Canis lupus familiaris: one gene and its partners. The protein of the gene in region 1 purifies or fractionates together with the protein of each later gene. This does not show direct contact. Links are inferred from orthologs where the notes say so. Each region holds a gene or a part of one and is shown on either strand. Other genes may lie near its edges.

Evidence for each region. Proteins that work in one complex are often made in the same cells at the same time.
Region 2: the proteins of CDK4 (region 1) and CCNA2 purify together in Homo sapiens (affinity purification with western blotting; 3 studies listed by BioGRID, with this or other methods). This does not show direct contact. The link is inferred for Canis lupus familiaris from reciprocal best matches to the Homo sapiens genes CDK4 and CCNA2.
Region 3: the proteins of CDK4 (region 1) and CEBPA purify together in Homo sapiens (affinity purification with western blotting; 3 studies listed by BioGRID, with this or other methods). This does not show direct contact. The link is inferred for Canis lupus familiaris from reciprocal best matches to the Homo sapiens genes CDK4 and CEBPA.

What each region holds. Positions count from the first base shown.
Region 1 is NC_049231.1:2,167,199-2,170,942, forward strand, and holds the start of CDK4 (cyclin-dependent kinase 4), read right to left. Parts: upstream 2,562-3,744; 5' UTR 2,361-2,561; intron 1,889-2,360; 5' UTR 1,870-1,888; coding exon 1,652-1,869; intron 1,519-1,651; coding exon 1,383-1,518; intron 1,267-1,382; coding exon 1,099-1,266; intron 965-1,098; coding exon 855-964; intron 595-854; coding exon 544-594; intron 399-543; coding exon 263-398; intron 21-262; coding exon 1-20.
Region 2 is NC_049240.1:19,143,306-19,147,049, forward strand, and holds the start of CCNA2 (cyclin-A2), read left to right. Parts: upstream 1-1,334; 5' UTR 1,335-1,619; coding exon 1,620-1,832; intron 1,833-2,608; coding exon 2,609-2,852; intron 2,853-3,744. UniProt on the Homo sapiens protein: Cyclin which controls both the G1/S and the G2/M transition phases of the cell cycle. Functions through the formation of specific serine/threonine protein kinase holoenzyme complexes with the cyclin-dependent protein kinases CDK1 or CDK2.
Region 3 is NC_049222.1:119,691,234-119,694,977, reverse strand, and holds the start of CEBPA (CCAAT/enhancer-binding protein alpha), read right to left. Parts: upstream 2,370-3,744; 5' UTR 2,285-2,369; coding exon 1,456-2,284; intron 1,417-1,455; coding exon 1,115-1,416; 3' UTR 1-1,114. UniProt on the Homo sapiens protein: Transcription factor that coordinates proliferation arrest and the differentiation of myeloid progenitors, adipocytes, hepatocytes, and cells of the lung and the placenta.

The sequences.
Region 1 (3,744 bases):
GGGTTAAAAGTCAGCATCTCCTGAGAAGGGGAGGCAAAGATCAAAAGGTCATGAAGACAAAACAAAAAAAAAAAGAAAAAGACTTCCGCTCACCCCCAACAATACCTAGGATGGGCTATTTTCTACATCCCTCTTTATGGATGGCCTATTCACTGGCGCCAGTAAAAACTAGCCCATCCACCAACCAAGTCTTAGTAACCGCAATGCTAGTGCTCGGTCTTCCACCCCATCCTCAGCCTGTGCCCGTGCCCACGCCCAGTACCAGCAGCAGCTGTGCTCCAGACTCCTCCATCTCAGGTACCACTGTCTGTACTGGACGGGGCCCTCTAGGGGAAAAGGCTCCTCGGGGCAGAGACACATCTCGGGGCCAGTCATCCTCTGGGGGCAGCCCGATCAGACTATGGGGAACAGGAGAGCTCTGGTCAAGAGGGTCTTTCTCTAGCCCACATCTCCAGGGGCAGAGCCAACTGCCATGTGGGGCTCAGCAGAAAAAAGATTTGGAATGGAAAGTTTTTTTTTTCTCCCCTCATGCTGGTCACTTACTCAAAGATTTTGCCTAACTGGTCAGCTTCAGAGTTTCCACAGAAGAGAGGCCTAAGGTGGAAAAAACACAGAAGTCATGTCCAAAGATACAGTAGTGGAATAATTACTGGTAGGTAATGGCTCAAAACAGAGAGTGTGGGGGAATACAGGGATGTGAAGTTCCTAACTTTGGGACATTTCAGAGTTTCTGGTTAGGGACAGAACAGTCAACAATACTTAAGTGAAAGATTGGGCAGGAAATGGATGTGATCTATGACTAAGAGATTTGGTTTGGGAAACTCAAAATAGTTCAGGATGCTTGGGTCCCATACTTGCGACGAAACATCTCTGCGAAGATACAGCCGACACTCCACATGTCCACGGGTGTTGCATACGTAGACTGCAGAAGAACTTCTGGAGCACGATACCAGAGTGTAACAACCTAATAGGAACAAGAAAAGTGGATGAAGACCCCATGGGTTACCATGAACCATAACTGGTTGACTAAAGTCACAAAGTGCCCGACTTCTCAACTGCTACGGTCAACCCCTCTCCTACTCCCCTCTTGCTACTGACCACAGGCGTAAGTGCCATCTGGTAGCTGTAGATTCTGGCCAGGCCAAAGTCAGCCAGCTTGACTGTCCCACCACTGGTCACCAGAATGTTCTCGGGCTTCAGGTCTCGGTGAACGATGCAGTTGGCATGAAGGAAATCTAGGCCTCTTAGAAACTGGCGCATCAGATCCTGGTTTAGAAGGGGGAAGAACAGAGGACCTGGAACTAGGCACCATACCTGAAATCACAGCAGGTTCTGCCACAAAGGTCTCAATCTACTCCTCAGTGTCCACCCACCCTACTCACCTTGATGGTCTCCACTGGCAAGCCCGGTGGGGGTGCCTTGTCCAGGTACGTTCTCAGGTCTTGGTCCACGTGCTCAAACACCAGGGTCACTTTGGTCTCCCGGTCGGTTCGGGCAGTGGCGCAGACGTCCATTAGCCTGGCCAGAACAAGTGGTCACTCACTGATCAATCCCTCTGGACCCGATGCGGCCTTCCCCATTTCCCCAGAATCCCCACCTACAAGTTGTCTTTTCCCCTTTACTACCCACTCCCCACCCCCCACCTTCTCACCGGACAACGTTGGGATGCTCAAAAGCCTCCAGCCGCCTCAGCAATGCCACTTCACGAACTGTGCTGATGGGAAGGCCCCCTCCGGCACCTCCTCCATTAGGGACTCTAACGCTCTTGAGGGCCACGAAGTGGCCGCTGTGCGGATCACGGGCCTTGTACACCGTTCCATAGGCACCAACCCCAATCTCAGCCACTGGCTCGTACCGAGGAGTAGCCATTCTCGGATCAGAGAAGACCCTACAATCACAAAAGCCTCCTGCCACCGAAAATCCCTCAAGAGTTCAGGTGGTATGAGCCTGCCGCAACGAGGTGACTCCCCCACAAGGCATCACAAAGACCCCCCCTCCACCACCCCGTCCCTCTCCCCAGTTCCGTGAGGCTGGCTCCTCAGCTGACACAATGGCTCTAACCCCAACCCCGCCAGGGGGGGTTATTTAACCCACGCCTTAAATATAAACGTGAATCCCTCAAAGAAAGAATTCCTCTTCCTCGGGGACGGGCCGTCGCGCCCCGCACGGGGCAGACCGCACACGACACACCCCCTGCATCGAAGACTCGACATCCGTCCCTACCATTACATCCCAGCTGACCACAAAGGAACTTTGCGCGGGCCGCACTTCCCGCCCTCGAGCGACCCTCCCGTAACCTGCCCGCGTAGGCAGACGCGAGGGCGACAGCGGTCCCGTCCCCGGGAAGGCGCCACGCTCACCTCACTCGGCGCCGGGTGCTGCGGGGGCGGCCCGTTATCGGGGCCCCGGAGCCAGAGCCTGCGGCGCCATACACAGGAGCTCTGTCCGGGGCAGCTGGACGCTCCGGGCCCGACCATAGACAGGCCGCAAGCTAGAGCGGCCCCCGCACCCCCACCCTCACCATGTGACCAGCTGCCAAAGAGGCGCGCGGAAACTGGCGGGGCGGGGCGAAAGCCGGACGTTCGGGCCACGTGACGAGCCGCGCGTGCGCAGAGGGGCGGCCAGAGCGGCCTCGGCCGGGAAGCGGGCGGGGAGGGGAGAGGGCAGGCGGGGCGACGGCGGCCACGTGATCTGTTGCTATCACACGTGACCGCCCGACTCCGCTCGGAGGAGCAGAGGTGTGGCTACGCGGCGGGGCACGTGACCGACTGCCAGACCCGGCGGGGGTGCGGGGAGACGGGGGAGGGTGGAGTCCAGGGCGGTGCCATGGCAACCCGGGCCACCCGGCTCCAGGGCCGAGCTGCAGGCCGCGCCTGAGCGCTTCTGGCGCTCGCTCCTCGCTCCGCGCCTCCCTCTGTGCGCGGCGGTCAGGGAGCTGGAGACGAGGCGGGGGCGGGACGGGCGCTGGAGCCTTTCGGCCTCACTGCCGCGGGGAGACCTGGTCTCGTTTGTGTCTTTGTTTCATTCATTGGCTCATTCAACAAATTTTTACCGAGTGCTCGCTTCCTGTGTGCATGCGGGTTTTTTTTTTCCGGTGTCTCAGTCGCTGGCCCTTTAAAGGAGTGATGGGGCTGTCTGGAAAGACGTAGCCCCCGGTGGGGACAATACCCATCTCAGGGCACAGCCAGCACTAACGGACTGACGGAAGGCACACTAATGCAGTGACCCAACCGGAGGAGTGTCAAGGTGATGCCCTCCCATCTTTCCAACTTCCACCTCTTCCAGGGAGCGTTAAAATAAGACGGTGCTTTCTGGCGGAGAAATTACCAATGAGCAAGAGACAGAAACACTTAACCTGCAAGGTTCTTTGCAACAGGGAGAGGCAATGATATGCGCGTTTGTGTATGTGTGGGTATTTTACACATTGTGTACAGATGGACAGATACAGGAGTGAGCGTGTGCAGGGAGGTTACCTCCACCACCACCTTGGACCTCAGCACTGCGTGAGAATGATTTGTGCTCTTCCACAAACCCTGTGACTCCTTGTTTGGGGTCGTTCTGCTTCCCTCTTTCCCCCGGTGCGAGCTTTCTTAGTCCTTGCTCCCGCCCAGAACTTGGACTTTCCCAAATTGCTTCTGCTCACAGACACTTAGGTCGACAATAGACAGGTTCCTCTGACTTTCCTTATTTCCTAGCCCTTTAGGGGAATGAGAGTAAGGAGGGAAGAGATCAGTATCTCGTTCG
Region 2 (3,744 bases), on another chromosome or scaffold:
GATCACACTCTGGGCCGGAAGGCAGCGCTAAACCACTGAACCACCCAGGGATCCCCCAATTTGCAACTGATTTCACTCTTGCTAGGTAATGTTTTGTGACCCGTGCTCAGTTTGTGAGCTTGAGTATGCTCAGTGCTATAAATTTTGGCCAGGGAAATGAGCAGAGCTGCACAGATTGAAGGGATCTTCACTTGCTGTCCTATAACCAGTAGAACTGTACAAGGCTACTACATGTGAATAGTGCAGAAATAGTGATGGCCTCTTAGATTTTCCTGCACTAGTGTCCACTGACTTGTTTTATCATGTAGAGAGGGAAATAAGACTTTAAAGCTACAGAAGTTTTATTCACTAATGTTAATTCATGTTTCTTCATACTCAGGAGAATATTGTGTTTGAAGATTGTTTTAAAATGGCGTAAAGATTATATAATCATGTTTTTAAGAAGGGCATCCTCATGAATTTGTCAGAAAACAAGGTCTCTTAATTCTTTACCATTATATTAATATATGCAAGCCTTGTTTATTAAATCTGAGAACTTGTTAAAGGCACATATCACTGAGAGTTTTATTTTAAAAGGTCATGTTGTTTTTATTTAAACAGCCTTCATTGCCAAATGGAACAAAATTCTGTATCTATGTCACTAGAAATTTCACTGGGTGCTTTTTGTTGGCTGGCACAGCTGGGAAAAGCATCAAAATTAGTGACTGTCTAGTTGAGTTTCTTCCAGTACATTACTATTTGTTTATATATATGTATCAACAGTAGTTAAGGTAGCACCTACCTAATCACATCTTCATGAGGTGAATTCGGAAGCATGACTGAAGAAACCCCTAAATGATACATGACAGTACAGTCCACACTCGAGGATCAGTAAGCAAGCATGTTAATGATTTACGCACATTACATAATCACAACAGCCATACGACATGTAGCATTTTACCCCCAATTAATAGATGAGAACACTGAGAATCAGAGACGTGTCATCACGGGGCCCGCCTACCAGGCCGGTTCGCGGCTGGGTCGGATCCGAGCTTGGGAGACCAGTCAGTCCAGCCAACTGAGGGCCCCACGGCCAGCGTTAGGCAGGCGCGGCCACTAACAATTGCTGGGGTTTGACTCCGTCGGTCCTAGAGACAGCCGCGGCCCAGCACCCTCGGGTCACCAAGTGGCCCAGTTTAGTCACTAGAAGTTCAGGCCCCGCCTCTTTGGCCGGCGCAGGCGTTTTCCCTCCCGCCGCCTTTCGGCGTTTCTCCGCCCCCGCTCCGTGGCCTTCACGGCTTCCTTCATTTGTCTGCGACCGTGTCGCCTTGAGTGACGTCAGGGGCATCGGCCCTTCCCATTGGCCCATTTCAATAGTCGCGGGATACTTGAACTGCACGAACAGCCGCCGCTCCGGCGGGCTGCTCGCTACATCTCGGGGGCGTCTTGAGCCCTCCACGCCCGGCAGTTCCTGCCTGAGCCTTTCGCAACGTCCTCGGAGCTGCGCGATCCCGAGCGAGCAGGCTGGCCCGGACTGCCGCGGGCGGCTGCGGCTGGAGCGTTTCTCGGCGGGGTCGGCGGGACGCAGTACACGCTGCTTGGCGCCGCAGGCTGATCCCGCCGCGACCCGGGGAGCAGTGATGTTGGGCAGCTCGGAGCCTGGGCCTGAGGCCCGCGAGGCGGGCTCGTCGCTGCTAACGTTGCAGCATACGGCGCTCCAAGAGGACCAGGAGAACATCAACCCCGAGAAGGCGGCGCCCGCCCAGCAGCCCCGGACCCGGGCCGGGTTGGCGGTCCTGAAGGCCGGGAACCAGCGCGTCCCAGCGCCGCAGCAGAGGCCCAAGACACGGCGGGTAAAGAGATGAACGATATCTGCAGGCGAGGAGGGCCGAGCGGGAGTTTTGCACGAGGTTTGAGCAGGCCGGGGAGCGTGGCGAGAAAGCATCTTCCGAGCTGTTGTAAGGGAGGCCTGGGTCTGCAGTCCCCTTGATGCCTAGTGTTCTGGCGCGGGGGATGCCACGTAAATCTTTCCCATAGCTCTCTTCGCCAGCGCTGTGTGTTTTGCTCCCTGTCTGCTCTTTATTTGGTATATTTTCCGATAGAATATGAGGGTCAGACCGAGCACCACGACGTATGTCCGCGCTTTCTTCGCCGCTTTAAACCCCAGGCACTGCCCTAGGATCTGGACCCCCTTCCTGCTCGCCATTTGGTTAAGATTACCTTTACTTTAGGAAAGAGTATAAAAAATAATTTTTTTTTACTAAATTCCGCCATTTTACCGGATTTGCTCTGTTGCTCCACCCTGGGGCCAAAGCGGTGAACCAACACCTCTTTGCCGGCTCTCCTAAACTTGTCATCATTCAGCCTGCTACCCCACTCCTCTTGTGGCCTTGATTAGTTTTGCATAAATGCATTTAGTGTGATTCTATAACTTATGTAGAAATGCCGCTAACGAACTTGAACATCCCTTTCTTCAGCTATTCAAACTTTACTGCCTGGATTTTGTCCCAGATAGTTTAATTTCCTTAGAGTATTTGGGAGTGAAAACAGAAACTGAGAACCGTAAGGGGAAGAAAGCAAGCAGAACTCCATTTAATAGGCTCAAAGCTAGCTATTCATTTCTTTTTAGGTTGCACCTCTTAAGGATCTTCCTATAAATGATGAACAAGTCACTATTCCTCCCTGGAAAGCAAACAGTAAACAGCCTGCATTTACCATTCATGTGGATGAAACAGAAGAAGAGACTCAGAAGAGGCCAGCTGAATCTAAAAAAACAGAACATGAAAATGTCCTGGCTTTTAATTCAGCTATTACTCTACCTGGACCAAGAAAACCGCTGGTACCTCTTGATTATCCAATGGATGGTAGTTTTGGTAAGTTTTAAAGAACATCTGTATCAAATCAATGTAATCCTAAAGTGATTATGGATTAATGATAGTTTCATTTTAAGACATTATTTTACCTGACCCTTACTATATAATGAATTTGGTGTAATGTAACAAAGTTTAGAAAGGGTATGATTCATCTCCGATCTCACAGCTCATACATTGACCTAGTGACCTATAAATCCTAACTGGGTGCTCCTTCCTTCCCATATTACTGCCAATCACATCAATTTAATTAGATCTCAAACCCTTATTTTAATCTGACCCTGGAAATATTTGCCTGCTTGGGAGAATAGATTTGAACCGTATTCATAAACTCACTGTGTACATACCACTTACGAGAGTATTTGAATAGGATACAGCTTTCAATATTGTGATATCTAACATCTCTTACAGCTTAAAATTTTCTGTAAATCCAGTCTGATACCAGAGAGGGACACTGTCCTCCTGTGAGGCAAGAGTTGAATCATGACTGCAGCTAACCACATATAAAATGAAGTAGCTGCTATAAAGCAAGCTCTGCCAACAGTTTATGCGTGCAACTTCTTTACCATACATAGATAGGTCTGTTGAGTCACTGGATAATTCATTCGTTTCATCTCATTTAGGTTTTAGTTCTGAGAAGTGGTCTGGGAATAGCAGGAAAATCCTTTGGAAATAAAGTAATTTTTGTATTTTTCTTGAAAATTTATAACAAACTTTAACCTTACAATGAAACTTGAAAAGAGTAATGAATGATATTCTTTGCCTCAAAAAGTAATTTAAAATTACAAAACATGAAACATTTGGTGATTATAGTGTTAATTTGTTTGAATTGCTCATAACAAACCTAATTTTAATTAACATTAACCCTGCTTTTAGTTATTGCTACATTGTTCTT
Region 3 (3,744 bases), on another chromosome or scaffold:
GAAGCCCACCTCACCTCTTTGGTTCCCCTGGGAGCAAAAGCGATCCCCCAAAACCAAAAGGAAAGAGAGCCGCAGACCCTCCCTGCAGCTGCTGACAAAGAGTCTCATTTTGGCAAGTATCTGAGCAAAACCAAAACAAAACAAAAACCAAATAAAATGGTGGTTTAGCATAGACGTGCACATTCACATTGCACAAGGCACCGCTGGGACACAGAGAGGCCAGATACAAGTGTTGATATCGGCTGATAAAGCAAAATATTTGGAAAGCTTCTCATAACTTCGGTCCCTCTGGGATGGACAGATTGTGCTTCATGTTTGTATGGCAATGCTGGCAACATACAGTACAAGGCTGATGGTCCCAGTGTCCCTTCACCCCACCTCCCCGCCCCACTCCCACCCCCACCCCGGGGCCAGATCTCTAGGTTTCCCTCTGCCACCAGGCTACCACTCCCACGAACACGTATCCAGATAGCTTTGGCCTGCCCTGGCCTGACCGGGGGTGGGGGTGGAGGGGCTCCCGCCGGTCACCCGGTGACCCCCATCTCAGTGAGTTCTGCCCAGGGAAGCCCAGCCCGTGACAGGCTGGGAGACTGGAGGGCAGGGAGCTAGGGACCCGCCACCTTCATGTAGAACTAGGGTAACGACCTTCCAAGTCCCTGTATGTCCTCCCTTCCGAGGACGGGCGCCGAGAGATCCTGACCCTTGGAGCAGCCGCGGGCCTGCACGCTGCCCTCTCTCCCCGGGGGTGGGGGTGGGGGTGGGGGGCCTGCACCTCGGGGTGCGGCAGGAACCCTCCGAATAAAATGACAAGGCACCTATCGGCTCCCCCTACTCGGTAGGAATCGGAGCGGCGAGTTTGCGTTTCCAAGGCACGAGGTTATCCTTAATACTAGAGTTGCCAGGCTCGGGCTCGGGCTCGGGCTCGGCTCGGCCCCACGGCGCTTCCCTCCTTCGGGGAGAAGGCCCGGCCTGACCCCCGTCCTGGGCGCACCGAATCGGCGGGCCGGGGCCTCCCAGGCCGGGCCTGCGCCGCGGGGGGCAGCCTGGAGATCCCGAGCCGAGCCCGACTCCACGAATCCACGCCCGGGGTCCCAGCGGGCGGCCGCCCCGCGCCTCACGGGCAGTTGCCCATGGCCTTGACCAGGGAGCTCTCGGGCAGCTGGCGGAAGATGCCCCGCAGCGTGTCCAGCTCGCGGCTCAGCTGTTCCACCCGCTTGCGCAGGCGGTCATTGTCACTGGTGAGCTCCAGCACCTTCTGCTGCGTCTCCACGTTGCGCTGCTTGGCCTTGTCCCGGCTCTTGCGCACGGCGATGTTGTTGCGCTCGCGCCGCACCCGGTACTCGTTGCTGTTCTTGTCCACCGACTTCTTGACTTTGCCCGCGCCGCCGCCTCCGCCTCCTCCGCCTCCGCCGCCTCCTCCGCCGCCTCCTCCGCCTCCGCCGCCGCCCGCCGCGCGGAGGTCGGGGTGCGCGGCGGCCAGCGCCTTGAGCGCGCCGCCGGGGCCCGGCAAGCCCGCGGGGCCGAGGGCGGGCGCCGGGTGAGGGCTGGGCACGGGCGTGGGCGGCGGCGTGGGGTGGCCGGGCTGCAGGTGCATGGTGGTCTGGCCGCAGTGCGCGATCTGGAACTGCAGGTGCGGGGCGGCCAGGTGCGCGGGCGGCGCGTGCGCGTGCGGGTGCGGGTGCGGGTGCGGGTGCGGCGGCGGCGGCGGCGGCGGCTGGTAGGGGAAGAGGCCGGCCAGCGCCAGCTGCTTCGCCTCGTCGTCCTCGCGCGGCTCCTGCTTGATCACCAGCGGCCGCAGCGCCGGCGCCCCGACGCGCTCGTACAGCGGCTCCAGCCTGCCGTCCAGGTAGCCGGCCGCCGCGCAGCCGTAGCCGGGAGCCGGGCCGTGCGCGCCGCCGGGCATCGCCGCGCCGCCGGGGCCCCCGGGGGCGCCCGCGTAGTCGAAGTCGCCGCCGCCGCCGCCGCCGCCGCCGCCGCCGCCGCCGCCGCCCGCGGGGGCCGCGGCCGCCTTGGCCTTCTCCTGCTGCCGGCTGTGCTGGAACAGGTCGGCCAGGAACTCGTCGTTGAAGGCGGCCGGGTCGATGTAGGCGCTGATGTCGATGGACGTCTCGTGTTCGCAGATGCCGCCCAGCGGCTCCGGGGCGGCAGGTGGGGCGGGGGCCTGCGCGGAGCCCGCGCCCCGGGGGAAGCCGAAGGCGGCGCTGCTGGGCGCGTGCGGGGGGCTCTGGAGGTGGCTGCTCATCGGGGGCCGCGGCTCCGCCTCGTAGAAGTCGGCCGACTCCATGGGGGAGCTACAGCCCTCCCGGCATGGCGCGCCTCGGCGGCCTCCAGCCCGCGCGGGGCGCCAACGCCGCCGCCGCCGCCGCCGCCCCCGAGCCCCGGGCCCCGCCGCCTCGCGCCCGCGCAGCTCCGGTCGCGAATGGCCAGGCCCGCGCGGGGCCCGCGTTTATACCGGGGGCGGCGCCCTGCGGAGCCCGACGGAGCGGCGGCGCCTCCTGGGTCCTAGCGCCGGGCCGCCGGCGGGGGAGGCGAGCGGGGCCGCAGCGCGGCGCGGGCGGGAGGGGCCCCGGCGCGGCGCCCCCTGCCCCGGCCCCGCCGGCCCGACCCGGACGCGCGCGCGCCCCGCCCTGGGCCGAGCCGTCGCCCCCGCACGCACGTGGCCGGGGACCGGGCCCCCTCCTCGGGCTGCCCCGGGGCTCCACTTCCAGCCGGCGGCCGGGGAGTCCGGGAGCGCCCAGGCGCGGCGCGCGGTGGGGGCGGGGGGGCCGGGGGGCCGGGGGCCGGGCTTGCGGCCTGAGCCACCGCCGCGGGACTCGCTCTCAGAGCTCCCAGTGGCCCCGCCGGGGCCCCGGTGTCGGCTGGGCGGCGGCGCGGGGAGGGGGCCGGAGCCGGCCGGGAGGCCGAGGGGAGCGCCCGGCGCGCGGCGGCTCCGCGTCCCCCTCCCTGACCTCGGGCCGCCCCGCCGAGGCCGCGCAGGAGCCGGTCCCCGCCCGCCGCGTCCTGCGGGGTCCCCGGGCTGGCGGCGCCGGGCGCTAGGACCGCGCGGGGCGCGGAGGCGAGGCAGGCGGCGGCCGCGGGGAGCGGGAGGACGCGGCCGGCGGGTCCGCGGGGCAGGACAACTTTTTCTTTTCCAGGACTTGCCCCGGCCCGAGGCGCGGGAGGCTGGGCGCGCGGGGCTGGCGCCGTGCCTGGAGCTGGAGCCCAGGGCCGGGGTTCCGCGGCCAGGCGGGGCGCGCAGACGGAGGACGCCGAGCTGAGCCGGGACGGGGACCCCGGGCTCGGGAGCCTCTGCCCCCGCGCCCCGCACCTCCGCCCCAGTTCCGGTGGGCTCCGGGGCGGGAGCCGGGGCTCGGGGACCTCGGGGACCTCGGGGACCTCGGGAGGGCCCTGCCCGCGGCTCGCAGGGCGCTGGGTCCCGGGATCCTGGGGAACGAGGTGGCCAGGCCGGGTCCCCTTGGCCGCCGCCTCCGCATTCGCTGCTGGAGCTGGGGGTTAAGGCAGCGCGTCTCCCCAGCCACGTGGCGCCTCGCGGCTCTATCCCGGGACCGCGGGCGGCGGCGGGGGGGCGGGGGCGCACCCCGGGGCCCGCAGGTCGCCGCTGCCTCTACCTCCCCCGCAGCGCCCCTTAAGACTTAGTGCGCCGAAGCCCGACACCGCCCGGGCGCCGGTTGGAGGTGTGCCCGTTTGGGGAGAGCCGGGCTGCGCAGGCCAGGACCTCCCCCCCCCCCCCCAAGGTGGCCTTCC